Stegostoma tigrinum: one gene and its partners. The protein of the gene in region 1 purifies or fractionates together with the protein of each later gene. This does not show direct contact. Links are inferred from orthologs where the notes say so. Each region holds a gene or a part of one and is shown in the gene's direction. Other genes may lie near its edges.

What was found.
Region 2: the proteins of cylda (region 1) and spata2 purify together in Homo sapiens (affinity purification with western blotting; 10 studies listed by BioGRID and IntAct, with this or other methods). This does not show direct contact. The link is inferred for Stegostoma tigrinum from reciprocal best matches to the Homo sapiens genes CYLD and SPATA2.
Region 3: the proteins of cylda (region 1) and spata2l purify together in Homo sapiens (affinity purification with mass spectrometry; 3 studies listed by BioGRID and IntAct, with this or other methods). This does not show direct contact. The link is inferred for Stegostoma tigrinum from reciprocal best matches to the Homo sapiens genes CYLD and SPATA2L.

Annotation. Positions count from the first base shown.
Region 1 is NC_081369.1:27,041,117-27,051,269, reverse strand, and holds the start of cylda (ubiquitin carboxyl-terminal hydrolase CYLD), read left to right. Parts: upstream 1-5,564; 5' UTR 5,565-5,721; intron 5,722-10,153. UniProt on the Homo sapiens protein: Deubiquitinase that specifically cleaves 'Lys-63'- and linear 'Met-1'-linked polyubiquitin chains and is involved in NF-kappa-B activation and TNF-alpha-induced necroptosis.
Region 2 is NC_081372.1:39,296,420-39,307,250, reverse strand, and holds the start of spata2 (spermatogenesis-associated protein 2), read left to right. Parts: upstream 1-5,728; 5' UTR 5,729-5,846; intron 5,847-10,831.
Region 3 is NC_081369.1:45,445,282-45,456,012, forward strand, and holds the start of spata2l (spermatogenesis associated 2-like), read left to right. Parts: upstream 1-6,392; 5' UTR 6,393-6,534; intron 6,535-10,731.

The DNA of each region.
Region 1 (10,153 bases):
GTGTGCGATGGATTGCCCCCCACCTACGTGGCTTGATGCAGCTAAAACAACACTGAGGAAGCTAGACACAATCCAGGTCAAAGCATCCAAATTGATAGGCACCTTCGCCCTCTACATTTACTACCTTCATTACTAATGGCAGCAATATTTGTCATCTACAAGATGTTATACAACCCAAAACCTGTACTATCTAGAAAGATAAGGGCAGCAGACACATAGGAAAACAATCAACTGCGAGTACCCTTCCAAGGCACTCCAGTTCTTCAGTTGCCGTTCTTTAGCAAATCCTGGAACACACTGGCAGTATGGGTGTACCTTGAACAGAAGGGCTGCAGCCGTGTAAGAAGATTGCTGGCCTCACTTTCTTAAAAGCAGCTGGGGTTGGGCTTTAAATAATTGTTAAATCCCAGGAAAGGATAAAATAATGCGAAGTTGCTCTTCTACCTTTACTTCCATTTGTGCACCTTCTCCACAACAGCTTAAGGTCATTTCCACGTATCTGGAAATACACTGGATAAGATACATAGAATCAAGCCATTTGACCCAACCAATTCATCCTGGTGTTCATCCTCTGATATAAACTGAAAAAAAAATCCAGTCAAATAGCAGTCTTTTCCCCAGAAATGTTTATTCCTCACCAAGTGAAATATTTAAACTGAGAATTGGCTGCAGGAGATCGAATAGGTTGCTTTGAAAATTACATTCTTAATATGGTGCCTTCACCTTTACACCCCTTTGATATCAATGGTTTTTGTTATTTTCCCAATCATGGCTCACTTGAAGCACTCTTTCCTCTGAGTGTGGGTTCACGATCTCGTACAAAATTTGAGCACAAAAAGTTAGGGTTGACACCCAAGTGAGGGAACACTGCATTGTTGGAGATTACAATTTTCTTAAGAGATATTAACTGAAGCCCTCTCGGGTGAACGTAAAAGGATCTAATGGCACTGTTTTGAGGAGCAAGTGAGAGATCCCTTGTCATTATTACATTGTTGAGTGACAACTTGCTGTGCACAAATTATCGATTGCACTTCTTACATTATACCACTGACTACAGTTCAGAAAGTGTCAGTTGCTTGTGAAGCTTATTGAGATGTCCAGTGATTGTAAAAAGTACTACACAAGTGTAAAGTCTTTTGTTTAGTGGAAAGGTAAATTCTTGATGATAAACAAATAAAGATTCCATTGATAGAGAAGTGTAATTCAAACTTTTCAAATGCAGCATCAGTAAAAACATTTTGAACCACCACGACATGTACACATTTCTGTACATATCCAGGTCACTTATTTTTTTAACTCTCCCAATTCCTAAGATATCGAGGATAAGACACATTGATATATCATCAAACTGAAAAACTTTCCAGACTGCTGTAAAAAAACCCCAGGGATATATTTATAGGTATATATTTCTTATTTCCTCTAGCACATCTTCTTTCAAACGTGACCACTGGGAATTTTCACACAAACTAACTTAATTTTCTGTCCAAATGTTTGTTGATATGATTTGTAAGAACAAACAAATTTGTTTTATATAATCATATATCCAAAGCTATTATGTATGTAAGCTATTGACAACCATTAGGAACACGTCACACAAACTTTTGGCATCTGGTAGTACTGAATATTATTGGCATCCTCTTTGACCTGCTGTGATATGTTTACACTATGAGCTCTCCCCCTTTCTCTCTATTTCACTCCCTTTGTCTTTGCTAGTGCTTTCTGAGTTGTGTGCTGCATCTCTCTCCTCCGCAGTTTCTTTACATGTGACATAGTCAGTTGATGATAGAGGATAATAATAATAGCGATTGAAATTGGTCAGTTTCCATACTGGGGAGTGATAAAAAAAATAGGCTTTGCATGGTGGCATGGTGGCTCAATGGTTAGCACTGCTACCCTACAGAGCCAGAGATCCGGGTTTGATTCCACCCTCGAGTGACTGTGGAGTTTGAACATTCTCCCCGTTTCTGTGCGGGTTTCCTCCGGGTGCTCCAGTTTTCTCCCACAGTCCAAAGATGTGCAGGCTAGGTGGATTGGCCATGCTGAATTGTCCATTGTATTTCAGGGATGTGTAGATTCATGGGTTCTAGGGGGATGGATCTGAGAGGGATGCTTTGAGAGTTGGTGTGCATATGTTGGACTGAAGGGCCTGTTTCCACTCTGTTGGGATTCTATGATGATTCAGAATGCTAAAGTGCACCACAATTTGTGATTCAACACCAAAACCATACTGCCCTACCCCTCGTCTCTCCCACTTTTCTGTCTTGACAACAACACAAGGTGATGCTTGGGCAAGTGGGGAAAACTAGTTTGTGCAGTCATAATATGCAAGCCGTTATTGTATGAGGTATTTTTCCTGTGCATCTATTTTGAATATACATATGCCAGGTACTCACCTAATTTGATATGTGCATAGAGAGCAGACTTATGATTTGTCCTGGCTTGCTGTCGGCCCTAAAATTCAAAAAAAGCAACTGGCAGTCAATCTCTGTAGCAGAGAGAATTGTTGACCTCTATTAACCTCTTTCCTTTTCTCAAAAGAATGCCGAAATGAGCTTGTTCTTCTTTTGTTGCTTGTTTCACAGCCCTGTTGTTTAAAAATACCCGTTATCTGGCATTTGAGACAGAAATCACTGCAGGAACATAACAGCAAATAAACGTATTGACCAATTACACTTCTACTGGAATTTCTAAACCATGGTACAAATACTGTTAATTAATTTGTGTCACAATGAAGTAAGATTTGTAAATGTAAATACCAAGACATTTGATGATATCTTGATAATTACCATGACATTTATTTGTGTCATTATTTCATCATTTTAGATAATCTCCCAGGAGAAATGCACGTTATTCTTTTGTATAATCTTAAATTTGTCTATATTTTTAATCACAAACAGCAGAGAGTGATTGCTTTCTTCAACTGTAGAATGAAGTATTTTAATCAAAAAAAAGTTAATCTTCACTTCAACTAACATCTCTAACCCTACTAGAAAAACGGTAGGAACCGAATAGCAGGTTGCTGCTGCAAAATATTCAACATTATACTATTATAATGTTTATTAACCTGAATCCACATGCCCAATATAATTTTCAAATTGTCATGCCATTTTGGTCTCAAGGACACGTTGCAGCTGTGTAGTTCGTGGACTAGAGTCATAGGGTCATACAGCACCAAAATAGATACTTTGGTCCAACTCATCCACGCCGACCAAGTTTTACAAACGAAACTTGTCCCATTTGCCGGCATTTGCCCCGTATCCCCCCAACCTTTTCCTATTCATGTACCTATCAATATGTCTTTTAAATGTTGTAACTATACCTGTATCTACCACTTCCTCTGACAGCTCATTCCACATATGAGTGACCCTCTGTGTGAAAAAGTTTCCCGTCAGGTACCTTTTAAATCTTTCTCCTCTCATCTTAATAATATGCCCGCAGGCTTTGAAATCCCCCATCCGAGGGAAAGGACCCTTGCTATTCACCTTATCTATGCCCCTCATGATTTTCTAAACCTTAATAAGGTCACTCCTCAACCTCCTTTGATTCAATGAAAAAAGTCACAGCCCATTGCAGCCTATCCATATAATTCAAACCCTTCAGTCCCAGCAACATCCTGCTAAGTCTTTTCTGATCCCTCTACAATTTAATAATATCCTTCCTATCGTACTCTAAAAGTTGCACCACCAATGTCCTATACAACCTCAACATGACATCTCAACTCCTGTACTCCATGGTCTTAGCAAAGAGGGCAGGCATGTTAAATGTCTTTTTGAACACCCTGTCTACCTGTGATGCAAATTTCAAAGAACTATGTACCTGAACCCTTAGATCTCTTTGTTCAATAACACTATTCAGGGTCCTATCATTAACTGTGTAAGTCCTGCCCTTGTTTGTTTTACCAAAAATGCAAAACCTTACATTTACCCAAATTAAACTCCATCTGCCACTCGTCAGCCCGTTAGTCAATTGGTCAACATCTCTGTAACCTTGGATAACCTTCTTCACTTGTCATTATACCACCAAGTTTGGTGTAATCCACAAACTTACTAACCATTCCTCCTAAATTCTCAACCAAATTGTTCATATAAATGATAAACAAAAGTGCACCCAGCATTGATTCCTGCAGAACACTGCCGGTCACAGGCCTCTAGTGTGAAAAACAGCCGTCACCACCACACCCTGTCTCCTACCATCAAGCCAATTTTGTATCCAATTGGCAAGCTCTCCTTGAATCCCATTTTATCTAACTTTACTAATTAGTCTGCCATGTGGAACTTTATCAAAGATTCTACTAAAGTCCACAGAGACAATGTCTACCGCTCTGTCCTCAATCTTTTTGGTTACGTCCTCAAAAAATCTCGATCAAGTTTGTGAGACATGATTTCCCATGCCATGCTGACTATCTCTGATCAGTCCTTGCCTTTTCAAATGCATGTAGATCCTATCACTTAGAGTCCCCTTCATCGGACTCTCAAAACCATTTTGTCAATTATAGGGAAGAAAGGGTTTGTGAGAATTAGGATTTTTCAAATAAAAATGTAAAAACATGAATATACAAAAACAAAATACTGGTGATGATGGAGATCTGAATTAGAAACAAAATGCTAGTGAAACTCAGCTGGTCTGGCAGCATCTGTGGAGAGATGGTCAAAAATCCCAAAGGAGCCAGCCCAATGTTTTGGGGACTGGGTTAAAATCAGGACATCTGGTGGAATATGAATGTAATTTCATAAAAGTCAGGAAGTAAAAAGCTAAGTGACCTTGAAACGATCATCAAGAAACAGAACAGCTGCGTAGGGTCACTCATGTCCTTTAAGAAGGGAAATTTGCCATCCTCACCTCGTCTGACCGACATGTGATTCCAGACCTACAATGAAGAGAACAACTGTTAAGAATGACATCAACAAACATTTCCCCTTTATCTTCCCCATTGAAGAAGCACAAACAAAAATCCAGAAATAGCTTTAAAACAAGAGGACGTCATGCATGTCCTGGATGAAGTGGAGTAAGGTTTAGGATATTTTATTATTGTTTATTCGTAGGCTTCGCTGCCTGAGCCAACATTTTGTTGCCTGTCATGAGCTGCACGTGAATATTTTGCATGGAAAAAACGATCCTGCGGAAATATTAACACGAAAGGGGTGCAGTAATATTATTTTGGCAATAATCTTTAAAGTTCAAATACAGGGTAGATCCTGAACACAGGTTTCAGAACAATAGGCTGTGAATGGGAGATGTGACTTTTTGTTGTACAGCGACATGCAGTGTGCCAATAACTCGGCACCAACTTGTCAATTGCTGCGGGCATGAGGCGAAAGCGCTGTCACTCAAGCCCCACCCCCTCGCGGGCAGCCAAGTGCACAATGTACGCATGCCCAGCCCCTACCCTCCACGGCAAACCTGAAAGCGGAAGCGTAATGACATCAATGATTGCCACCTCCACTAGCCAACCACCGATCGGGAAGTGGACAGCGCCTCCGCCGATTGGCCGGCCCTCCGTGGAGGTTTGGCCAATAGCAGGTGGAGGTCCGTGCCGGTTGTGTCGGGGGAAGAGGTGGGACTTGGCACGGTGAGGTCTGGTTGGGAATGTTCCTTTATTTACATCAGCTCCGGGTCGTCGTCGTCGTCGTCGTCGTCGTTGTTTTTGTGAAAGTCTGGGACTCGCTTGGTTCTTTATCTGTCATTAAGTCCTGAGAGACAGAACAGAGGACTGCCGGCTTTGTAAGTGAACCTGGAATATGTGTGTGCGCGCGCGTATATGTGTTGATGGGTGAGGTGGGCCGGCGAGTGGGGTAAGGGTGTCCCCGGCCTATCCCAGCCCGGCCACCTGCCCCCTCAGTGCCCAGGATCCCCCTGACAGCTACAGTGCTAGAGGTATCCGGCCCTGGGACTGTCGCTGCTCCAGCTGATGACCACCTCGACCCGGATCGTGTTTTGTGCCTCTCAGCAGGATGACACCCATCACTTGGTCTTCCTGATCCTGATGGTTACATGTAAATATATTCTTTTCCGTTACTGCTCTTGAAGATGCCGGTTGTATTTCTGCAAATGTGCATACCATCCCTGGTTGTTAGGGGCTTTGTGGTTGAAGTTGAGGTTGACGTTGTCGTTGTCAGGATCCAGTAACGAAACAGAAAGGGGGTCGTAGGGTGAAGAAATGGGAATCTCCCTATTCTTTTCCAGCTTACAACTTGGAAATACAGCTCCTGGTTGAACTAGTTTCGCTGCTGATTGGAAGCTTTGCTTTGAAGCAGGAAGCACTGTAGCACATGGTGCGTTTATGTACTGAGTCACTCGGGGAAACCTTGCCTTTTAAAAGTTATTTCTCCAAGAAACGATGTTTTCATTTGAGGGATTAGAGTTGTATAGTTAGCCCCTGGCAGACATCCATGTTGCGTTGACCACCTTACGCATTCATTCCCTCCACCATCAGAGCAAAGTGGCAGCAGCGTTTACTGTATAGAAGTTGCACTACAGCAACTCATAGTTTCCTTTAATAGCTTGATACCACTCAGAAGGGCAAGGGAGCAAATGCCATAATGTTATCACCTGCAATTTTTTCCTCTAAGCCACACACTACCTTGCTTGGAATTATGTTGCCATTCTTTCCAGGATGACCAGGTGGTGTATGGGGAGGGGTTAAAAATAAAAGGCACAGCAGGGAGTTGGGAGGCTGCCATGGTAATGAAACTGTAGGTAGTAGGGTTGCTAGTGAGATTAGGGGAGTAGCCAGTTTGCTGTGCCCTTGTACTTGGTACTGCCTTGACTCTTATCAGCAGGAAGAGAAAGAGCATTAATGTTTGGTTCCAATATGATGTTTCTTTGGAATTGAATGGTAAAAGTAATGTCTGTTACAAACCCCTGACTCCTTCAGTTGCCTGGACTACACTTCCTCCCACCCTGCTTCCTGCAAGCACTCCACCTGTTCTTCCAGTTTATTATTGTTGCACCTGTTTTGATGATGCCACTTTTTAAAGGAGTGCTTCTGACATCATTTTCTTTTTTAGAGTCGTAGAGATGTACAGCACAGAAACAGACTCTCTGGTCTAACTCGTCTATGCTGTCCAGATATCCTAAATAAATCTCATCGTTGCTCATTCCATACATGCACCGCCCTTTGTGTGAAAAAATTGCCCCTTAGGTCCCTTTTGAATCTTCCCCGCCTCACCTTAAACCTATGCCTCTAGTTTTGGACTCCCTCATCCCAGGAAAAAGACCTCGTCTATTTATCCTATCCACGTCCCTCATGATTTTATAAACTTCTGTAAGGTCACTTCTCAGCCTTTGACTCTCCAGGGAAAATAGCCCCAGCCTATTCAGTCTCTTCCTATAGTTCAAAATGCCCAACACTGGCAGCATTCTTGTAAATCTTGTCCGAACCCTTTCAAGTTTCACAACAACCTTCCTATTAGCAGGGTGACCAGAATTGTACACAGTATTCCAAAAGTGGTCTAACTATGTCGTCTACAGCTGCAACATGAGCTTCCAACTCCTATTCTCAAAGCACTGTCCAACAAAGACAAACATACCATTTGCCTCCTTCACTATCCTATTTACCTGCAACTCCATTTTCAAGAAACTATGAATCTGCACTTCAAGGTTTCTTGGTTCATTTCTCTTTTAACCTTAGATTTCTGTTATGGTGCACGATACTTCTGCCCTCAAATCTTTCTGCCTGTGTCAGAGCAATAATAGGGAAACCCCTGTGCATTTGCATTTAAAGGATCATCCTCTGCCACTTACATCACGCCCAGCAGGATGCCTCCACATCTTCTTCTCCCCTCCCTTATCAGCATTCTGCAAGGACCATTCCTTCTGCAACACTGTGTCTCTTCACCATCCTGCGGCACTGTGGCTCAGTGGTTAGCACTGCAGCCTCACAGCTGCAGAGACCCGGGTTCGATTCCAGCCTCGGGCGACTGTCCATGTGGAGTTTGCACATTCTCCCCGTGCCTGCGTGGGTTTCCTCTGGATGCTCCGGTTTCCTCTCACAGTCCAAAGATGTGCAGGCTAGCTGGATTGGCCATGCTAAATTGCCCGTAGTGTTCAGGGGTGTGTAGATTATAGGTAAACGGGTCTGGATGGGATGCTTCAAGGGGCGGTGTGGACTTGTTGGGCTGAATGGCCTGTTTCCACACTGTAGGTAATCTAATCTAATCTTATTGCAATCAACATCCACAATACTTTACCTCAGTATCTTACACAGTACCTCTAAACAGTGATGTGTTGTTTTGTATCAGTTGTCCTTGTTCTTCTAAGTGGTAGTAGTTGTGGGTTTGGGAGGTGCTGTCTTAGGAACCTGAGAGAATTTCTGCATGCGTCTAGTAGATTGTACATCAGAGGTGTAGGGGTGTGGAGCAAATTAAGTGGGTTGCTTTTTCCTGGGTAGTGTGGAGTTTCTTCAATGCTGTTAGAGTTACGCTCATCCAACTAAGTGGAGGGGGAGTATTCCATCACATCCCTGACTTGTGCTGTGTTGATGGTGGACAGGGTTTAGGAGTCAGCAGGTGAGTTACATCCTGAAGGATTCCTAGCCTGCAACCAGTTCTTGTCGCCACAGTATTTAGATAGCTAGATCAGTTCAGTTTCTGGTCATTGGTAAGCCTCAGGATGTTGATAGTGGGAGATACATTCAGTACATTAAAATATATAATCTAAATGTATGTAGAGATTTTTTTCTTAATTGAGTACATTAGACTGTAGAACATTGACAAACTTTTCAATGTAAGACTTAAAAAGGAAGTAAATTTTGCCTCTCAGAATTCAGATTTTTGTTAGGGAACTGGGATTAGGTTCTGTTTTGGTTCTTTCATGGCACAGTTGAAAACAGCTCAGCCCTGGACAGGTTCTGACCAGTAAGGCTGGCTTAAAAGCAAACACTTTTTTTTCCCTCTTTTATTGTTAATATTGACAGCTTAGACATTCAAACATTCACAAACTGAAAACTTCACCCTGACAAAGGCAAATCATCTCTTTGGTTGTTGCAAGGTGGTATGTTATTTTAAGAACAAAATAAAATCAATGGCTTGAATTCAATACATTTTTAGAACTTACTGTTCAGGTGGATAAATCTAATGACATAAAAGAAAATTACATGGGAATTTAATCATGTAATGTGCCATCCCTTGTGTGACGTTATTGGTGAGCCACGTTCTTGAGCCACTGCTTCAGTTACTTTCATAATGCCTTTGGGTAGAGAGTTTCATCACACTGAACCAGCAACAATAATGTTTCCAGGTCAGGGTGACGTATGACTTGGAGAGAAATTGCAGCTGGTGGATTTCCTAGTCCTCAATCCTTAATGGTGGTGGAGGTTACGATTAAGGATTTATCCCAGGATTTGATGTTAATGGGAGGGGGAGAAATATGCTGGGTTATGAGATGACAGATTGTGTTGGAATTCAGTTCTGCTGTTGCTGCAGGCCAGTAGTCTCTCCATGTACAGTTTTAGCTGCTTGATCTGTTCTGAATCTATCCTATACACTACATTTCAGAAGAGGGTGCAACAATGAGATTTTTGGACTGCAATCACTCAGGCCACCACTTGGGTAGATGCAACTGGTTTGTTTCAAGTGATGTTTGACATGGAGGAGTATTGATCCACCAGCTTGAGGGAGAGTGATAACTACTAATTAGGAGGTTTCCTTACCTGCATTTGACCTGATGCCTTGAAACATTGTGTCCCACATTCAGCACACACCCAGAAATGCTGTTGGAGATGGGTGGAATGTGGGCTGAAGAATGTGAATCTGACAGTAACTGCCATATTGTTGCTTGACTTGTCTGTTAGGTAGTTCTTGGCCTTTTCAGAACACAGTTAAGATTCAACCACATTGCTGTAGTTCTGGAGCCACTAAATGTACTTTTTTTTTGGTTAAGAGCAGCAGGTTCCAAAAGCATGTAAGTGATCCGGATGAGTTACTACTCTTCTAAGCTGTACATTAACAAAAATGGTTAGGCAGCCACTGATTGGATACAAACAAAAGTACACAGTAATGAAAACTTATTTAGAGTGAACTGAAACTTAAAATCAAAATAACATTGTTCAGGGTGATGATGCATCCCAACCCTTTTGATATCTCTCAGCCTCAGTTGTCCTTTATCATGCTGGTGAACGTTGCATGCCCCTTCTCAGTGGACACCTGACTATGGA
Region 2 (10,831 bases), on another chromosome or scaffold:
AATTAAAGTGAAAAAAAATTATAAATATCGTGCAAAGAGACTGATTCTCAGTAGATCCTGAAGAAGCATATTGTCCAATACAAAGATAATACCCTCTCCTATCCATTACATTCTCTCATGAGAGCTTAGACGCACCAATTATTTGTGTTGCATAAATAACATTTTGCTCCAGGCAAGTAAAAAGTAGTTTTGCAACTATTTGGAAAGGTTTCTTCAACAACAAAGGCATGCAGAACTTTGGATTTTATAATGAAAAAGGGCCATTCAAGCAGTGAATAGAGGGTTGATATTGTTTATTTTTATTCAGTCAAGAGACGTAAGTGTTGCTGGCTCAGCCTTCATTTATTACCCATCCGTAGCTGCCTAGAAATGATGGTGAGCTGCCCTTCCTGAAGTGCTGCTAACTCATTGGTGTAGGTAGACCCACAATGTCACTAGGGAGTTGCAGGATTTCAACCCTGGGATACTGAAGGAATGGTGATATATTTCCAAGCCAGATGGTGAGTGGCCTGGATGCGAAGTTGCAGGCGATGGTGCTCCATTGTGTTTGCAGCCCTTTGTCATTCTAGTTGGTAGTGGTCATGGGCTTGGAAGGTGCTGTCTAAGGAGTCTTGCCCCTTTTAGCCATGGCACAGTACCTCTGTTTGTGCCACATGCCTCGAATGATCTTCAACTTATGGATTCTCTGTTTATGCAAATTTTCACAATGGCTTGAAGAAGTCACTTTTTTGTAATGTCATCAATTGCTTCTGGCTCAGAAAGAGTCTGAAAGGGTTAATATTGAGGAGTGCTATAATTACCACCCACTAGGGTGATGCCAAATTGCGTTGAGTTCAAAGCAGCTTAGGACCTTGAAGTGATCAAATATTTGCTCCTCTTCAAAGTCTCTTGACTGAATTTTAATTAAGTGTCAATTTCATCAAGCTTCACCTAATTTCACTGCCCACCAAACAACATGTCCTCCAGACTCCATGCAGCCCCCAGACCCTGACCTAACAAGCTAGCTGTCTCTCTTTGGGACCCAACATTCTCTCTTGTCTGCTATAGCACCCAACTTGCCATACAGGGTCTCCTTTCCCCCCAGCCCCACACTAAAATAATGGAAACCTCCCACATCCCCTCACAATAGGCACCTATAGTCCACCTGAAGTGTTCCAGTACCATTTCTATTGGGGAAACCTACCTCTCTAATACCTTGGTTGTTCAAATGAATTCACTAAGGTCAGACATGCTGTTATCAGAACTAATGTTCAGATTCTTGGTTCCATGCTACAGGGATGCCAAAATCCCACTTCAAGCAGAGGCTGCTTATGCCTTAAATAGCCAGGTGCTTAAGCAAAGCATGTCTGTACAGTGTATGCAGTAACTACACTCCTGCCCCTACAAAAATGGGAAGTGCAGTACCTAGATTCAGGATTTGTGACTTCAGGCCATTTCTGCCATTTTCATCATGGCCCCAAAAAATAGAGTTGTTGAAGTAGAGAGATTAGATGTTAATCTTTACTCAGGTTCAGCTTTAACTGCAGAATTAAATCTTACGGTGTGAAGCTTTATCTTCAGGTCAGGTAGCAGCAGTTAGGAAAATCATTGGCCCAGCTATCTGCCTTGGAATGAAGAGTTTGCACAGAAGGAAATTTCATTGCACAGAGTACGTGCAGTCCAGAATCAGGCCAACCTTCCCGGAAAAGATTTTGGAGACAATCACCGGCGGCTGTTGCTGCCCATGTCAACTGTTTCAAAAGACACAACTCAGGGTACGGGACTTTGTCCCATTAATAATTGGAAAGGTAAGGCCTTCTAATCCTTAGTCCTCAAACCCTCTCAACACTCTCATTTGTTCCCCATGCCCCATCCATTCCATTTCATTCACTCCCATCCACTTGCCATGGCTTGGCCAGACCCTGGCTAAGTATCTCCAATTCCTTTTGCCCCCCCAATAAGGAAGGGAGAGCTGGGTCCCTTTCTTCCAATTCAGCCTTCTCTCCTCTCCCTACTCCTAACGAGCAAATGGCCCTTTCCCTCATGGACACCTTTCCTAGTTTCAGTGAATTTATGTTTTAAAATGAGTTCATTTAACCAGACAGAAATAAAACAAAATAAAGAACTACAAATGCTGAAGATCTGTAACAAAACCAGAAATTATGAGAGAAACTCAGCAAGTCTGGCCACATCTGTGGTGAGATTGCAGAGTCAAATGATCCTCCATCAGACTGAAAACATCTGGGGAAGAGTAGCATTTATTCTTAAGGCAGGTATAGGGTTCAACAGGTGGTGGCAGAAGGGCCCTTAGCTTTTTCCACAACTCTGCCCTCACGCCTTCTCTTCCTTCCCACAACATCAAAAGTAACCCCCTCGTCTTCACTTACCACCCCACCAGAATCCTCATCCAAAACATAATTAGCTGTTGTTTCCACCTCCTCCAACAGATGTCAACATGAGACACACATTCCCTTCCCCTCTCTCGTCAGCCTTCTGCAGATATTGTTTCATCCAGAAACCCAGTCCACTCCTTCACCACTCTCAACACCTCCCCACGGTGCCCCACCACCTTTGCCTGAAATCGCAGAAGGTGTAACATCTGCCCGTTTACCTCCACCCTCCTCACCATCCAAGGCCCCAGACACACACCCCAGATGAAGCAGCAACTTACCTATACTTCACTCAATCTAGTTTGTGGTATTTGCTTCTCACAATGTGGTCACCTCTACATTTGGCAGATGAAATGCACACTGGGTAACCAGAATACTTACATTCAGCCTGCAAAAATGACCCTGAACTTCCGGTTTCCCGCCATTTCAACACAATATTGTGTTCCATCGCCAACATCTTGTCTTGCGTTTACTGCAATGTTCTCGTGAAGTTCAACACTACCTGGAAGAACAGCATCTCATTTTTCACTTGGGAACCCTTCAGCGTGTAGGACTCAATATTGAGCTCAATAATTTTGCGCCTGAACATCATCTTCCTTGCCCTTTACCCACCGCTGCATTCCAGGCCCTCTCATGACAGGGGCTGCTTTCTGCACTGCCAACCCAGTTTCACCTACTTGTGTTCCCCATTATTAGCATTTTGCATTCCCTGGCTTACTATCAACCATCCCTTTGTCTGCCTAACTTTCTTTCTCTCCCTCTGGGCTCCATCTTTGTCTATCCTCTCACTCCTTCCCCCACACTGCCCCCACCTGCTGTCACAAGCATAAATACTACCTTTTCCCAGCTACTATCAATTCTGATGAAGGATCACCAGAATTGAAATGTTAAATCTGCTTTCTGTCTACAGATGCTGCAAGACTGTTGAGTCTCTCCAACAATTTCTCTTTTTGTTTCAGATCTTCAGCATCTTCAGCTCTTTGTTTGTTATCAATAAAGATTAGCCTGTTCACTTTCTTTCCTCCTTTCTATCCATCTTGGACTCCTCATTTCCCTGCCTTGACATTAATGTTTCCATTTCTGGGGCTAAGCTAGCCAATGATCTCCAGTACAAACTAACTACTTCGACAGTTACCTGCTCCATACATCCTCACATCCTGCATTCAGTAAGGATCCTATTCTATTCTCCCACTGCCCTACCTCTGTTGCACCAATTTTGATAATGCTGTCTTCTGCATGGTGACTTCAGAAATATCCACTTGTTTACTCAACCAAGGATTCTCCATTGCCATTGTTGACAGGGCCCTTAGCTGTGTCTGACCCATGCCCTGCAATTTTACACTCACCCCTTCCCTTCCCTCCACAGCTCTGATAGTTTCCCCATGGTCCCCACTTATCACCCCACCACGACCCGCTTCCAAATAACCTTTTCCATCACCTCCAGCAGAAGCCACTATCAGATCCATATTCCTTGGTCAAATGTACATATAAAAATCAATCCTTTGCTTTCTGGCTATCTATGAGCTATAGCAACTCAGGTGAAGTAATGGACGGTGAGCACATAAAATAATAAGCACTTTACAAAATACGTCAAACAAACACATATTTCTATATATATACTATATCGTAGAATGATCTTAAATAAGTATATTTTAATACTTTTCTACTGAATGTTACTATGTTGCTTTATGGTTTTGTTTTTGTTGGTATATGATATGATGTTAACTTTCAAATTGAAATATGGTCACTTTGGAAAATAGTTTGGAAGCAGTGGTCTAGAAAAGGTAAAAATAGACATGGCAGAACCATTACTAAGAACTTCTTGAAGACAATATTAAGAGGACATATGAGGTGTGTGAGCCATCTGGCCAGAGTGGACCGAAAGAAACTTTCCTATTGGTGGAACAAAGAGAACTTGGAACACAGAAATAAAGTAATTAACAAAAGAAACAATGGTGACATGAGGAACATTTTCTTTGCAGCAAGTGGTTAGGATTTGGAGTACACTGCCTGTGAGTGTGGTGAAGGCACATTGAATAGTGGATTTCGGTACAATTTGAATCATTATCTGAAATGGTAAAATTTGTAGGACCATGGGAGAAATGTAGAGTGTCAGTCATTGAATAGCGTTTACAGAGGACCAGCATGGATTCGACACGCTGAATAGCTTACCTATTTGGTGTAAACATCTTACAATTCTAACTGCTGTCTGGAAAATGAAATGAACGTTAGCGAGTTAAGCACATGGAAATCTATGTTGAGTCCAAAAAGCTCTCGCGTGGATAATTAATAGATGTAATGTTATATTGATTTTAATCGAAGCAGTGTAGGAGGCTGACAGCAGAAAGAGCGGAGTGACAATGAAGCAGAGGACTGAAATGATCAGAAGTTCAGGGCCACAAACTGAATGGAGGTGTTTCGCAAATGATAAACCCAATCAGTATTTTGTCTCCCTGAAGTGGAGTAGATGGCAATATTGACAACAAATTTAGCATTCCAGATTGAAAGATTTAGAAGTTTACACTATTTCACCAGAAAGGGGTTGTTTGGACATTGGATAATGAAAATGAATGAGGGAGAAAGGTGACGCGTTGTGCTGGATGATACCGTAGGAATGGAGGTCACATTATAGTTATCTGATGCATGAACCAGGGTGTTAAAGACAATTTTTTTCGATATAATATAACTGGGGAGGCAGCAGAAAATGTGATAGGAGCATTATGCTGGAGGTGGCAGAAATGGCAGAGGATGATCCTTTGAATGTGAAGTCTGGTAGGTGGAAAATGAGGGCAAGGGAGTGAATGTGCAATTTACAATGGCCACGTTGGGAGACCTGTCAACCACAGAGGATGGGGAATCCTTAATTCAGGAAAAGGAAGGCATACTGGAAGCTCTGCCTGAAATACACATCATTGGAAGAAATATGATGCAAGTGGAAAAGCGGGAGAAAGGAACAAAATAAAATAGCAGAAGGTGTCAGAAGAATCAATGATGTCAGTGAGATAAGAGTACACAAGGAAAGACAAAAATGCGAATGAAATGTGGTCTTTGGGGCAAGAACAGGTTAAAATAAAAATTACTAACCAATTCTGATTGCCTCCTTTGATACAGAAGAGAAAAGAATAGAATTTGTTTTATTGCCACAAGTACTCAAATGAGTCAAGTGAAAAGAATAACAATGGCTAAAAATTAATTCCGCAAATTAAATAGTTAAAGATAAACAATTTGAAATAGTATCATTACTGCAAAAACTGAAATCACTGCAGTGCTGTTCACTCGCCCCCATCTTTGATTATATGGATCTGACCCTGTTGCTATAGCAATAGCGTTGAGGCTCTTCCAAACATCACAGCTTCCACACCCTTCATATACCTTTTAAAACCTGTTTCTAGTTGTCAGCTCAGCTTCACACCACCTTCTGGAGTTTATTTTGGATAATATTTGTTGTTGGCATTGTCTGGACTGGCTTCACATGGGGTAAGTCACACAGTATTTGATGGTCCATGCATGCCCTTGTTCAGGATAAACGAATGGAAACATATCAGAATTCTGCAACATCTTCCAGCTTTGTTCAGATAGTAGGGTTCATGTTTCCCAACCAGAATCCTGTGGATCTGGGATTTTGATGGCATCATAAGGAAGACACGACACGTACTGAATAAATTTTGCATTATCTGAGATGCAGTCTTTAAAAATGAGGTTAAAACAAATTCCAATCAATTGATCTTGATAGTCATTAATTAGTTTATGTGATTCAATTTAAATAGCAAGAAGTTAACTAGCCCTGGTTAATTAATATTCCTCCTTCCTGCTACCAATTTTTGGAGTCGGGAGTATTGCTTGTGCCTTTAGGTCAGAAGGTTTGAGTTCACGTTCCACCTGTCCTGGAAGTGCGTCATAAAATGTCTGAACAGGTTGATTAAAAATGTTCCTCTTCAACCAAAAATTGATCAACTGCGAAGTTAGCTTGTTACAGATTGTAGGATCTTGTTGCGTTCACCTTAATAAATAACAAACTATGCAGTTAACAGTAAGTAATTTGTTCTCTGCAGAGAAAATTTACATGTCTCAAAGGACAGGGAGAAAGCATTTTAAAAAGTGAAGCTGTTTAGGGCCTTCGTCAATGGTCCGTCTCCAAGCCAGCTATTGGCTTTAAGGAAATCAGATTTTGCTGTATGAATGCGAGCTACTGTAAATACTAGGAAACTGAAACAAAAACAGAAAATAATGAATAGGACAAGCAAAATCTGCAGAGCAAGAGCTAACTTAATAAGGAAAACTCACAGACCTGGCAAATTAACTCTGTTTCTCTGTCTATAGATTCTGCAAGACCTGTTGAGTATTACAGCAGTTTCTATTTTTATTTTTAATATAAACGCTGGGAGCTGGTTCTTGGGCACCAGCCTCTTAGAATTGGTCCTAAAGTTAGACAAAGTGCATGTATCTTTTTCTCATGCAGCCAAAAAAATTCTTAAACTTGTTTTTGCAGGAATCATAGCTTGATATTTGGCTGTGGATACACACAATGGGGCATTCACTGAGGATGACCTAGCGGGCACTGACTTTCTTTATTGCATTCTAATGGACTGACTGCTGGCTAACAGAATGACTACTGTTGAGTCTGGATAACATTTTGTTATTGTTAAGCTCTCTTTGCTTGCCTTCATAGTTTGTAAATAATGCTTCAAAATTAGGTCACTATTTCCAAAAACATGGTGCTTTAGTAGCATGAATCTGTTTCCAGCTGAGGCCTCGTGGGTCAGTTATCTTATTTTAATCATTGTTTTGGGGAATTGTTCCCCATCTTACTTGATTAAAATTACAAGTAAAGGTGGACGGTAAGGATACTGAAGAGGTGAAAGCCATGTTTTTAGTTGAGCTATTTAAGAAGCCTGTACTAATTTATTCTTACAGAACAATTTATGTATTATTTCCATCCACACCAATATTTACCCTTAGGGCCCAGAAACTCGTCTGAACTGACCCACGATGAAAATGAATTTCTTCTCATTAATTGGTGTTAGTGTTGCAACTAATTGAACTCTCAGCCACATTCATTTAAAGTGAAAAATAATGCTTCGATGAGGCAACTGCAATGTTACTGAATCCAACCTGTATCACTTTTGTATATGTTATATAGTGTCTATTACTGCAGTAGTATTTAACAGTCAATCTGTGTACAGGAACACTCTAAACAACAGTAAGGCTTTAACATCTGGAAAATATGTTGGGATCTAAAGTAGATTGCCCCTGCCAACAAATGCACAAATCACAATATACAATAAACCAGCCATTGATCAAAATATGTGATGCACTTTTTTATCCCTTCATGGGGTCCAAACATTGCTAGCTTGTTGCCCATTATTCCCCGAGAGGACAGTGGTGCATTGCACTTGTGCATTGCTGCAGTTCATCTGATGTAATCACGCCCACAATGTTGTTCGGGGAAGGAGTGCTAGGATTTTGATCCAGCAATAGTGAATGACTGAGATTATACTGTCAAGTCAGGATGGAGTGCAACATGGAGGGGAAATTGCAGGTAATGGTGTTCCCATGCATCTGAGGATATGCACGGTGGCTCAGTGGTTAGCACTGCTGCCTCACGTCACTGGGGACCTGGGTTTGATTCCATCCTCAGGTGACTGTCTGTGTGGAATTTGCACATTCTCCCCGTGTCTGTGTGGGTTTCGTACGGGTTCTCCGGCTTCCTCCCACAGCCCAAAGATGTGCAGGTTAGATGGATTGGCCATGCCAAATTATCCTTAGTGTTCAGGGATGTATAGATTAGGTGAGTTGGAGGGTGATAAGCATGGGTAGGTGCTCTGAAGGTTGGTGTGGACTTGTTGGGCCAAAGAGCCTGTTTCCATTCTGCAGGGGTTCTGCAATCTATGATTGATATCCTTGCCTGTCTAAATAGTAGAGGTCACAGGTTTTTCTAAGTGAAAGTGCTTAGTTACTAGTTGCAGTACACACCACCACCTCTGCGGATGGTGACAGAAAGCCAATAGATGTAGTAGTTATTTTAATCAACTAGTTCAATCATGCTGTGACATCTCTCCGGGGCAAGTGGGACTTGAATCAGTGTCTTCTGGCTTAGAGAGAGAGACACTACCACTGCTCAGCAAGACCTTTTACAACAGATGTCACATACCCTGATGATAAAATGTGAGGCTGGATGAACACAGCAGGCCAAGCAGCATCTCAGGAGCACAAAAGCTGACGTTTCGGGCCTAGACCCTTCATCAGAGAGGGGGATGGGGGGAGGGAACTGGAATAAAAAGGGAGAGAGGGGGAGGCGGACCGAAGATGGAGAGAAAAGAAGATAGGTGGAGAGGGTGTAGGTGGGGAGGTAGGGAGGGGATAGGTCAGTCCAGGGAAGACGGACAGGTCAAGGAGGTGGGATGAGGTTAGTAGGTAGCTGGGGGTGCGGCTTGGGGTGGGAGGAAGGGATGGGTGAGAGGAAGAACTGGTTAGGGAGGCAGAGACAGGTTGGACTGGTTTTGGGATGCAGTGGGTGGGGGGGAAGAGCCTCCGGAGGCTTGGAGACCGCTTTGCAGAACACCTCCACTCAGTTCGCAACAAACAACTGCACCTCCCAGTCACAAACCATTTCCACTCCCCCTCCCATTCTCTAGATGACATGTCCATCATGGGCCTCCTGCACTGCCACAATGATGCCACCCGAAGGTTGCAGGAACAGCATCTCATATTCCGCCTGGGAACCCTGCAGCCATATGGTATCAATGTGGACTTCACCAGTTTCAAAATCTCCCCTTCCCCCACTGCATCCCTAAACCAGCCCAGTTCGTCCCCTCCCCCCACTGCACCACACAACCAGCCCAGCTCTTCTCCCCCACCCACTGCATCCCAAAACCAGTCCAACCTGTCTCTGCCTCCCTAACCGGTTCTTCCTCTCACCCATCCCCTCCTCCCACCCCAAGCCGCACCCCCATCTACCTACTAACCTCATCCCACCTCCTTGACCTGTCCGTCTTCCCTGGACTGACCTATCCCCTCCCTACCTCCCCACCTATACTCTCTCCACCTATCTTCTTTACTCTCCATCTTCGGTCCGCCTCCCCGTCTCTCCCTATTTATTCCAGTTCCCTCTCCCCATCCCCCTCTCTGATGAAGGGTCCAGGCCCGAAACGTCAGCTTTTGTGCTCCTGAGATGCTGCTTGACCTGCTGTGTTCATCCGGCCTCACATTTTATTATGTTGGAATTCTCCAGCATCTGCAGTTCCCATTATCTCTGTCACATACGTGGATTTCCTAAAGGCATTCATTCAGCTCCTACACAAAAGATCACCTAATGTAATTAAGCATAACACATTAGCACGGTGTGGGATTGGTTAACACAGTTGTGACTGGAGCCAATAGTCGCTTATCTCAGTCAACAATCAAGAAACAAAAACAGGATATATTGGGCATTTTTAAGTTGACATGATATAGCTACCAAGTGCTCTAAGAATCTGTACTGGCACCTCACCTATTTGCAACCTACATTAAAGACTTAAATAATAAAATGTAGGGCAACGTATCCAAGTTTAATGATGAAACAAAGCTAAGTGGGTCTAAAAGGTGTGAAATGGACACAAGAGTTGGCAAATAAATTTTAACAGGTTAAGTTAATGACAAAATGATTCAGTGACAGATAAAATATAATGCGGGAAGTGTGAACTTATTTACTTCGATAGTGAGAATGCAAATGCAAATAATTTTTAAGTACATTGGAATTCACTGATATTTTTGTTCAGAGAGTCTTGGACATACTTGTACAAGGAATGTAAAACGTTGGCATTCAGGGGCAACAAGCAATTAGAGAAGCAATTGCATGTTGTCCTTTGCAAAATAATTGGAGTATACAAATGTGGAAATACCACTCTAATTGAATGCGGTTTTGGTGATGTCACACCTGAGTACTGTAAACAGTTTTAGCTTCCACATTTAAGGAAGAATTCATTTGCATTTCAAGTGGTACAGTGAGCAATCACTAAGTTGGCTCCTAGGATGACAGTCTGGGTAAACTGGGTCTTAACTCTTGAGTTTAAAAGAATGAAATGCAGTCTCAATAAAGCACTCAAGATTCTGAAGGGAATTCTAGAGACCAGTTGTTTCCACGAGCTGGACAATCTAGAACAAAGAAGGACAGTTTCAAGACAGAGAATTGTTCATTTAAGATCGAAGGGAAGAGAAATTTCTTTACTCATTGCAATTGCATTGTAATTTTTCGAAATTTCTCCTTCAGAGGGTTTAAATGCATTGTTTAAGGTTGTCTATGACTATTTTTAAGGCTGAAATAGTTAGAGTTTTGTCTCTAAGGAAACCAAGGGATATAGAGAGCAGATGGAAAAGTCAACGTAAGGAAGGAAATCAACTATGACCACACCGAATGGTACAGCAGAGATCAGAGCCTATAGTCTATTCCTGCTTCTACTTCCTATATCCTTATGGAGGAAATG
Region 3 (10,731 bases), about 18 Mb from region 1:
CATCGGAATGGCATTAGCTCATTGGTGGACGAATTGACAGGAATGCCCAAAAGTATATGAATCCAGGACTTTGGCTAATGCAGAGTGTAAATATACCCAAATAGAGAAAGATGAATTGGCACTCATATTGGGAGTTAGGAAGTTCCACCAATACCTTTACGAATGAAAATTTTGTGATAATGATGGACCATAAACCTCTACTTGGCCTGCTTAAGGAAGACAAAGTAGTGCAGCCCATCCTTTTGGGTTGCATTCAGCAGTGGGCTCTAATACTAAGTGTTCATAATTACACATTAGAACACTGTCTGGAAGGCCGAGTAGTGAATGTGGATGCATTGAGCTGCCTCCCATTGGCAGATACACCATCAGTGGCACACCCAATGAAAGAGTCCGTCATAATTTTAAATTTTCTGGTCACACTCCCACTCACAGCTAATAGTATTAGACTTTGGATGCAGAAAGATCCAGTCCTTTCAAAATTGAACCAACTAGTGTTCATGGGGGAAGCCAAAGGGCTCTCACAACTAGAACTGAAATCGTTTTGAACTCGGAGAGACCAGATTGCAGTAAAGTGACGGCACATTGTTATGAGAGTAATAGCAATTGTCCTGAGCAAAGGTAGCTGCGAAATATTGGCTGAACTCTGCCAGGGTTATCCAGGGTTTCCAAAATGAAGATGTTGATGACAAGTTATGTCTAGCAGCCAGGCCTGGATGCAGACAAAGGCACATTGGTGGGGCAGTGTCCAGAGTGACAACAAGGACAAAGATTACTTCCAGCAGCTCCCCCACATTGATGGGAATGGTAAATCCTGGACTCGGTTACACATTAGAGATAACAAGGTGTAGAGCTGGATGAACACAGGAAACCAAGCAGCATCAGAGGAGCAGGAAGGCAAATGCTTTGGGCCTAGACCCTTCTTCTGAAGAAGGGTCTAGTCCCAAAACATCAGTTTCCTGCTTCTCTGATGCTGCTTGGCCTGGCGTGTTCATCCAGCTCTACACCTTGTTATCTCAGATTCTCCAGCATCTGCAGTTCCTACTATCTCGGTTCACATCAATTATCTTTTCATGGGCCCAATGTTCTTAGTCATTGTAGATGCCCACTCAAAGTGATTGGATGTGAATCGGGTCCATTTGTCAAACATGGGGACAATGATAGAAAAACTGTCAATGCACAGAGTCACAGAAGTGTTGGTCACAGATAACAGGTTTACCAGTGGGGAATTTGGACTTGATTATTGGATCACTCTTCATGCAACTACAGGGATAGCACCGGCAAATTTGCTAATGGGCAGAAGACTCAGCCCCAGGGTAAGTCTGACCTTCCCTGATCTGTTCGGGTGGCGAGGGGGGGAGCGGTTTGTGAAACAGCATCAGGAACCCAAATGCCAGACACAAGACTCCGCCAAGTGAAAGAGACAGTTTGATGCAGGGGATGAGGTTTGCTGTAAGAATCACAGAAACAGCCTCACAGTTGGGTAAGAAGCATAGTTAATGTGAGATCATAGGTAGGTCCTTTGTTTTGAAGAGCCTCCTGGGACCTCTGAGCTCAGGGTCAGGTTCTGCTTTCTCTGCCTCCAATCTGAGCGACGTGTACCACATGTCGAGATCAGGGCCAGTGACATATAAAGTTTAGGTAGGTGCAACAGTCCTGAACAAGCACGTGGACTATATGAAAGCTGCAAATTTGTCAACTGTGCAGGAGCAAATTGTGCCCTGCCCCTTGGAAGAGTCAGAGAGAACACCAGAATCTGTGAATTCACCCTCCCCATCGAGCATTGACAAGTCCTCAGAATCAGACAGGCTGGATATAACCACTTCGATGCCTTTGCTGCCCGAAGAAGAGTGAAATTTTACCGAGGTGGTCCTGGCACAAGAGGAGTGCTCCCATGTGGGACATGTCGCTCAGATTGGAGGCAGAGAAAGTGGAACATGACCCTGTGCTCAAAGGCCCCAGAAGGGTCTTCAAGAAAAAGGACCTGCCTATGTCCTCAGAATCAGATGGGGAGGGACTTAGTGATTGCAGGAGGTCAGTCAACTGGACCATATAGAATTGGGGCTGTTAATCTGATTCAATGGGGAGACCTGGCTGACAGATAAAAGGGAGTGTCAGAAATACTGACAGCCTAGGAGCTGACTCTGAAGACAAAGGACTAGAGTCAAAGACCGTTGATGTGTAAGTAAAGGGTGACTTGGTGACAGGATACCGGCATCTGTAGAGTTATTTCTGTCTGCCCTCAGCTAACCCTCTTTGCTGTTGCTAAGTTTCCATGTTAACAGTTAGTCTCCTACTCACCTCAATCATGCTATAAAGTTAAACAAGGAAAGCCTCTGATCTCGGACACAACCGCACAAAGCTCACAGGTACACAATACTGAATGATGTACAACTTAATCTTGATGGTAGGATCTTATTCTAAAATAGCTTTACATTATTAAGCATTCATTGTATGCAAATATATTACAATTACAAGCCTACCACAGACCAGTGTGAGGCCCAACGCAACGGTGAATTTATCTCTACATTTCATTCCACCTGAGGGAAATCAAAATTTTGCATCCCACTTAATTCATTAATTTCCCCAACCAAACCTTAGAAAACCTGGTCTTTTCATACATTATAGATCGTGCAGTGCAAAAAAAATTGCTATACTTCCTAAATTATATCAGCAACTAGACTTTAAAAATACTCTACCTGCTGGCTTGAAGTTATGAGGCACTATGTAAATGCAAGTTCCTTCTTTTGGAAATTTGACCAAGGTGAATAAAGAATGGAATCATGAGTAGCTATAGTGAATAGACCATAAGAGATAGGAATGTGCCATTCGGCCCGTCAAGTCTGCTTCACCATTTGATCATGGCTTATATGTTTCTTTGGCATTTGGACAGGGATGGAAGTATGAAAGGTACAGAAGTGAAAGGTACAGCTCAGGCAAAATGAAGTGTTGGAGGTTCATGCACAGCATAAACACCAATGTAGGCCAGTTATACTGTGTCAGAAATAATGGGAACTGCAGATGCTGGAGAATCCAAGATAACAAAGTGTGAAGCTGGATGAACACAGCAGGCCAAGCAGCATCTCAGGAGCACAAAAGCTGACTTTTTGGGCCTAGACCCTTCATGGGGGATGGGGAGAGGGTTCTGGAAAAAAATAGGGAGAGAGGGGGAGGTGGACCGAAGATGGGGAGAAAAGAAGATAGGTGGGGAGCGAGGGAGGTGGCAGGTCAGTCCAGGGAAGACGTGCAGGTCAAGGAGGCGGGATGAGGTTAGTAGGTAGGAAATGGAGGTGTGGCTTGAGGTGGGAGGAAGGGATGGGTGAGAGGAAGAACAGGTTAGGGAGGCAGAGACAGGCTGGGCTGGTTTTGTGATGCAGTGGGGGAGGGGGCGAACTGGGCTGGTTTTGGGATGCAGTGGGGGAAGGGGAGATTTTGAGCTGGTGAAGTCAACATTGATACCATTGTGCTGCAGGGTTCCCAAGCGGAATATGAGTTGCTGTTCCTGCAACCTTCTGGTGGCATCATTGTGGCACTGCAGGAGGCCCATGATGGACTTGTCATCTGAGGAATGGGAGGGGGAGTTAAAATGGTTCGCAACTGGGAGGCGCAGTTGCTTATTGCGAACCGAGCGGAGGTGTTCTGCAAAGCGGTCCCCAAACCGCCGCTTGGTTTCCCCAATGTAGAGGAAGCCACACCAGGTACAATGGATACAGTATACCACATTGGCAGATGTGCAGGTGAACATCTGCTTAATATGGAAAGTCATCTTGGGGCCTGGGATAGGGGTGAGGGAGGAGGTGTGGGGGCAAGTGTAGCACTTTCTGCGATTGCAGGGGAAGGTGCCGGGTGTGGTGGGGTTGAAGGGGAGTGTGGAGCGAACAAGGGAGTCACGGAGAGAGTGGTCTCTCCGGAAGGCAGACAAGGGTGGGGATGGAAAAATGTCTTGGGTGGTGGGGCCGGATTGTAGATGGAGGAAGTGTTGGAGAATGATGCGTTGTATCCGGAGGTTGGTGGGGTGGTATGTGAGAACGAGGGGGATCCTCTTGGGGTGGTTGTGGCGGGGGTGGGGTGTGAAGGATGTGTTGCGGGAAATGTGGGAAATGCGGGAGACACGGTCAAGGGCGTTCTCAACCAGTGCGGGGGCAAGTTGCGGTCCTTGAAGAACGTGGATATCTGGGATGTACGGGAGTGGAATGCCTCATCGTGGGAGCAGATGAGGCGGAGGCGGAGGAATTCGGAATACGGGATGGAATTTTTGCAGGAGGGTGGGTGGGACGAAGAGTATTCTAGGTAGCTGTGGGAGTCAGTGGGCTTTAAATGGATATCAGTATCTAGCTGGTTACCTGAGATGGAGACTGAGAGGCCCAGGAATGTGAAAGATGTGTTGGAGATGGCCCAGTTGAACTTGAGGTTGTGGTGGAAGGTGTTGGTGAAGTGGATGAACTGTTCGAGCTCCTCTGGGGAGCAAGAGGCGGCGCCGATACAGTCATCAATGTAACAGAAGAAGAGGTGGGGTTTGGGGCCTGTGTAGGTGCGGAAGACCATAAGACCATATGACCATAAGACATAGGAGTGGAAGTAAGGCCATTCGGCCCATCAAGTCCTCTCCACCATTTAAATCATGGCTGATGGGCATTTCAACACCACTTCCCGGCACTCTCCCCGTAGCCCTTGATTCCTTCTGAGATCAAGAATTTGTCGATATCTGCCTTGAAGGCATCCAACGTCCCGGCCTCCACTGCACTCTGCGGCAATGAATTCCACAAGCCCACCACTCTCTGGCTGAAGCAATGTCGTCTCATTTCAATTTTAAATTTACCCCCTCTAATTTTAAGGCGGTTCCCACGGGTCCTAGTCTCCCCGCCTAACGGAAACAACTTCCTAGCGTCCACCCCTTCTAAACCATACATTATCTTGTAAGTTTCTATTAGATCTCCCCCTCAACCTTCTAAACTCTAATGAGTACAATCCCAGGATCCTTAGCCGTTCATTATACATTAAACCTACCATTCCAGGGATCGTCCGTGTGAATCTCCGCTGGACACGCTCCAGGGCTAGTATGTCCTTCCTGAGGGGTGGGGCCCAAAATTGGACGCAGTATTCTAAATGAGGCATAACTAGAGCCTTATAAAGCCTCAAAAGCACATCGCTGCTTTTATATTCCAACCCTCTTGAGATAAACGACAACATTACATTCACTTTCTTAATTACGGACTCTACCTGTAAGTTAACCTTTAGAGAATCCTGGACCAACACTCCCAGATCCCTTTGCACTTCTGATTTGCGAATTTTCTCACCGTTGAGAAAATAGCCCATGCCTGTATTCTTTCTTCCAAAGTGCAAAACCTCACATTTACTCACATTGAATTTCATCAGCCATTTCCTGGACCACTCTCCTAAACTGTCTAAATCTTTTTGCAGCTTCCCCACCTCCTCAGTACTACCTGCCTGTCCACCTATCTTCGTATCATCGGCAAACTTTGCCAGAATGCCCCCAGTCACTTCATCCAGATCATTAATATATAAGGTGAACAGCTGCGGCCCCAACACTGAACACTGCGGGACACCACTCGTCACCGGTTGCCATTCCAATAAAGAGCCTTTTATTCCAACTCTCTGCCTTCTGTCAGGCAGCCAATCCTCAATCCAAGCCGGTAGCTCACCTCGAACGCCATGGGCCCTCACCTTGCTCAGCAGCCTCCCGTGAGGCACCGTATCAAAGGCCTTTTGGAAGTCCAGATAGATAACATAAAGAGGGACTGTTCCACGTACTTTGTGGTCTGTTTCTGTAACAAAGAGAAAAATGCTGGACAAACTCAACAATCTGGCAGCATCTGTGGAGAAAGAGATGTGGCTTGTTTGCCTGTAATGAATTAAATGTGGTTTGTATCCATATTCAATGTAGATAAGTTATTGACGACAATCTCAGTTTTTAAAAGATTGAGGTAAATGGAATTAGCGTATTTGATGTTTGTTGGTTAACTATGTTTTATTTTTTTGTACATTCTATGAATAAAGTATATTTTTTCAAAAAAATTTGATGTTTGTTTGTCGGCATTGACATGATGGGCCGAATGGCTTGACTCTATACTGTACGAGCCTACGACACGTACCAAAGAATGCGACAACTTCTCCTAATTTGTTAACAAGCAATGTGAGAGCATTCAACCAAACAGGACTGGTAACAAAGACAATAAAATGTGAGGCTGGATGAACACAGCAGGCCCAGCAGCATCTCAGGAGCACAAAAGCTTTTGTGCTCCTGAGATGCTGCTGGGCCTGCTGTGTTCATCCAGCTCCACACTTTATTATCTTGGATTCTCCAGCATCTGCAGTTCCCATTATCACTGATCACAAAGACAGTCGCTCCCTTCTGCCAATGAACATCTGGAGGTTGGACTTGTCTGTATCACATGCTGAACGGGAAGTGACAACTTCAACAAGATCTGTCTTTGCATGTTAAATTAGATACGAATTGCAGTGGGTTATTTTGTGTTCTTCATCTGACGTCCAAACGTTTTCCCGGTGATTTTACAGGTGAGTGTAACAACAGAGTTTAAGAAATCCCGATCTATACCAAACTTCCCAAATATGTATTTAGAGAAGACGATTCACGTTTGACCGCATTATTGCTGGTTGTTTAAATTCGTAGAGCTTCTAAAGGGGATTTCTTTTTTTAAAAAAAAGGAGGAAGTGGACAGTTTTAGACAGTTTTGCACCGAGACTCAGATCAGTTCTATTACTGTGACGTTCTCATTTGCGTTTTCCCCGAGGTGTTTCGCCAGTCTGGGAATGGTTCGCATTCATCTGTGTCCTGGTTGTAAAACGTGTAGCAAAATCGTGAGATTTCCTGCAGTTGATTTCCTGCGCGCAAAGTGAAATTGGAACAAAAGGCATTGAGGTCACATAACCCAGTTTTATATATATTTGACTCTGTCGTTGTTTGAGAGAAGTGATAGGGATTGGAAAGTGAAACTTGGGACGAGATTTGTTTCCGGCTACACACTTGTCCCCGCCTCCGCACGCAGCGCTTGTTTAACTCCTGTGTGTTGTGTAGTTGGTAGATAATTGTTAAGTTTTGACCCCAGTCGATATCAAGCAGTTGGTCACCCAAAACCCAAAAGGATCTGGTAATTACAGCTTCCAAGTTTAACCTATATTTTCTAATCAGCCTGTTCAAAGTTTCATACCACTGTGATTTGTTCAAATTCTTGTCTGTTCTTTCTCAGCCAGTACATCAAAGGATTGGGCTTCACATTTTTGGAGTCTGCACTTACTATTGGAAACTGCATTTTTGATTGCAGAGGTATAATCGTGTATTTAGGATATTTCGGAACTTGAGTAGGCCATTCTGCCCCTTGAGCCTGTTCCACCCATTTGATGCAATCATTGGCTCATCTGTGTTTTAACTCCATATACCTGCCCTTGGCCCTTATCCCCTAATACCTCTGCGTAACAAAAAATTATCTATCTCAGATTTAAAATTAACAACTGAACCAGCATGCATTGCCATTTATGGAGGAAAGTTTCAAATATCTATCACCCTTTGTGTGTAGAAGTACATCCTAACATCTGTCCTGAACAGTCCATAAGACCATAAGACATAGGAGTGGAAGTAAGGGCATATGGCCCATCGAGTCCACTCTGCCATTTAATCATGGCTGATGGGCATTTCAACTCCACTTCCCTGTAGCCCTTGATTCCTTGTGAGATCAAGAATTTATCAATCATCGCCTTAAAGACATCTAATGTCCCGGCCTCCACTGCACTCTGTGGCAATGAATTCCGCAGACCCACCACTCTCTGGCTGAAGAAATGTCTCCTCATTTCAGTTCTAAATTGACCCCCTCTAATTCTAAGGCTGTGCCCACGGGTCCTAGTCTCCCTGCCTGATGGAAACAACTTCCCAGCATCCACCCCTTCTAAGCCATACATTATCTTGTAAGTTTCTTCAAGATCTACCCTCAACCTTCTAAACTCTATTGAATACAATCCCAGGATCCTCAGCCGTTCATTGTACGTTAAACCTACCATTCCAGGAATCATCCGTGTGAATCTCCGCTGGACACGCTCCAGCGCCAGTATGTCCTTCCTGAGGTGTGGGGCCCAAAATTGGACACAGTGTTCTAAATGGGCCTAACTAGAGCTTTATAAAGTCTAGCCCTAATTTGCAGACTACGCCCTCTGTTCTAGAATCCTCAACCAGTGTAAACAGTTTTTCCTTTTAATATCTTGAATACATCAATCAGACCACTTCATAACCTTCTAAATTCTTGAGAAAGCAGCCCTACTTTGCACAATCTCTCCTCATCATTTGAAGTCCAGCTATCATTCTTGTAAATCTACCTTGCACTCCTTCTAAAACCAATATATCCTTCCTAAAGAGTGATGCCCAAATTTGCTCATAGTACTCCAAGTGGCATCAAACCGGGGATTTCTGGTCTATCAATAAATATCCCTGTGTAGATAGTGTGGATGATAGCATAAAATTACAATGCTGCCTAACTTTGTCATCAGCAAATTTGGATACGTGACTTTTTGTGCTATTATCCCAGTCATTAACAAATAATGTGAATAATAATCTAGCACAGATTCTTGTGGGCCAACACTGATCACATCTTGCCGATTTCAGTTCCTGTCCGTTATCCCTATATTTTGTTGCCTGCCAATTTCCTCGCCGTGTCCTCACGTCTGTGGGCTTCTACCTTAGTTGACAGTCTCAAATGTAGGATTTTATCGAATACCTTCCAGAAGTCCAGTTAAATGAGATCTGTAGGCATTTCCCTATCCAATATCTTAGCCACCTCTTCAAAACATTATTTGTCAATCTACTTGTCACAAATCTGTGCTGGCTGTCTCCAATTTAACTGAAAAATTTCAAGGTGTACACTTATCCAATCCTTACTTGTTGACTCCAACAATTTCCCCACAACAGATTTAGTTGACTGGTTTTTCCTTTGTCGTCCTTCTTAAAAAGCAGAATGACGTGCAATTTTCCACTCCGAAGGGGTGTCTCCTGCATCTAGGGAACACTGAAAGATTATATCTACAGTGTGATACCCCCAATTCCTTTTCCATCCTCAGATGAATATTTTGTTTTATTCAGTCCCTGTTCCTGGTCCACTAATAACTTCAAAAATATAATATTCTTGGTCTCATTGTGCTGTTAAAGATGTCCTTGATACAATATATCAACCTTCAGAATGACCAATCTCTGGTCATAAATGAGTAAATCATCTACCACGCTGGGGTGTCCTTACTGTTCATTACACAATCCCATTCTCAGATTGTACAGCATCTTTGTTGGTCATCCTTTGCTGTACTGTCTGACCCAAGTGCATTCTTTGTCAGCTTTCCCTGCCTCGCTGGATGGTAAAATTGGGCTTGTCATTGATGTAAAGGTTTTGAACGTTTCCACTACGAGCATGATGGGCTGACTGGCCTCCTTCTAAATCATCACAATTCTGTGATTCAGGAAAAATGACATCCTGTTGATCAAGCCTTGCACATGGAGAAGGGACAAAGTATAGGAGCAGATTTACTGCTGATGCTGTAATCTCTTCCAAAAATAACAAATGCTGGAGATTGCAGCGAGTCAGACAGCATCCATGGAGATTCAGCAAGTGCACATTTTGAGTGGAAATGACTTCATCAGATGAAGAGCCATCTTGACTTGAAATGTCTCTCCATGGATGCCGTCTGACTCGCTGTAATCTCCAGCATTTGTTGTTTTTGGGGACAAAGTATCTGCTGCAGTGTGCCTCTTCCTGGAACATGCTCTGTCTTTCCATCATAGCGGTCATCCCTTGTCTGATTTTGTGGAGGTGTTTTTGCTAACTCAGAATTTTAAAATGTCACAAGTTTTTGTAGTCTAGATGAAGGACATAATCTGTAATGTTTCAATGCAGCTGCTAATACTACTTTCCTTATTGATGCCGTAACTCTGGTCAGTCTCTGACATTGAGTGAATCGCATAGTGAACTGATCTACACTCTCTCTATCCATTTGTATATCAATTTATACACCTCCCTTTTCTGTAGGAGAAGCATCAGCAGCAATGATCATGGGCAGCTGTGGGTTACAATGTGTTTAAATATCAAGACGATAGATGATTTATTATTATGTGTACCAAGAAACAGTGAAAAGTATTGTTTTGCATGCTAATCAGACAAGTCACACCTTACACAAGTATAACAGGGTAAATGAACAGGATGCAGAATATAATGTTACAGCTACAGAGAAGATACTGGGAAAGATCAACTCTAACATATGAGGGATCCCATCAAAAACCTGATACCAGTGCAGAAGAAGCTGTTCCTGAATCTGTTGGTGTGTGTTTTCAGACTATTGTATCTGCTTTGCATTGGGAGAGACTATAACTGGTCCTTGATTATATTTGGCTGCTTTCCCAAGGTACTTCATCACCAGATTTTCTTGGTTTTCTTAAAAAAAACATCTGTGTTGTGCCTCCTAACCAACACCATGCCTTTCTTGTCGGAGCAGTTAATTTAGTGGCTTGTTGGCACAAATATAGATTAGATTAGATTCCCTACAGTGTGGAAACAGGCCTTTGGCCCAACAAGTCTGCACTGCCCTTTGGAGCATCCCACCCACACCCATCTCCCACACACCCCTGAACACTACAGGCAATTTAGCATGGCCAGTCCACCTAGCCTGCATATCTCTTGGCTGTGGGAGGAAACCCACGTAGACACGGGGAGAATGTGCAAACTC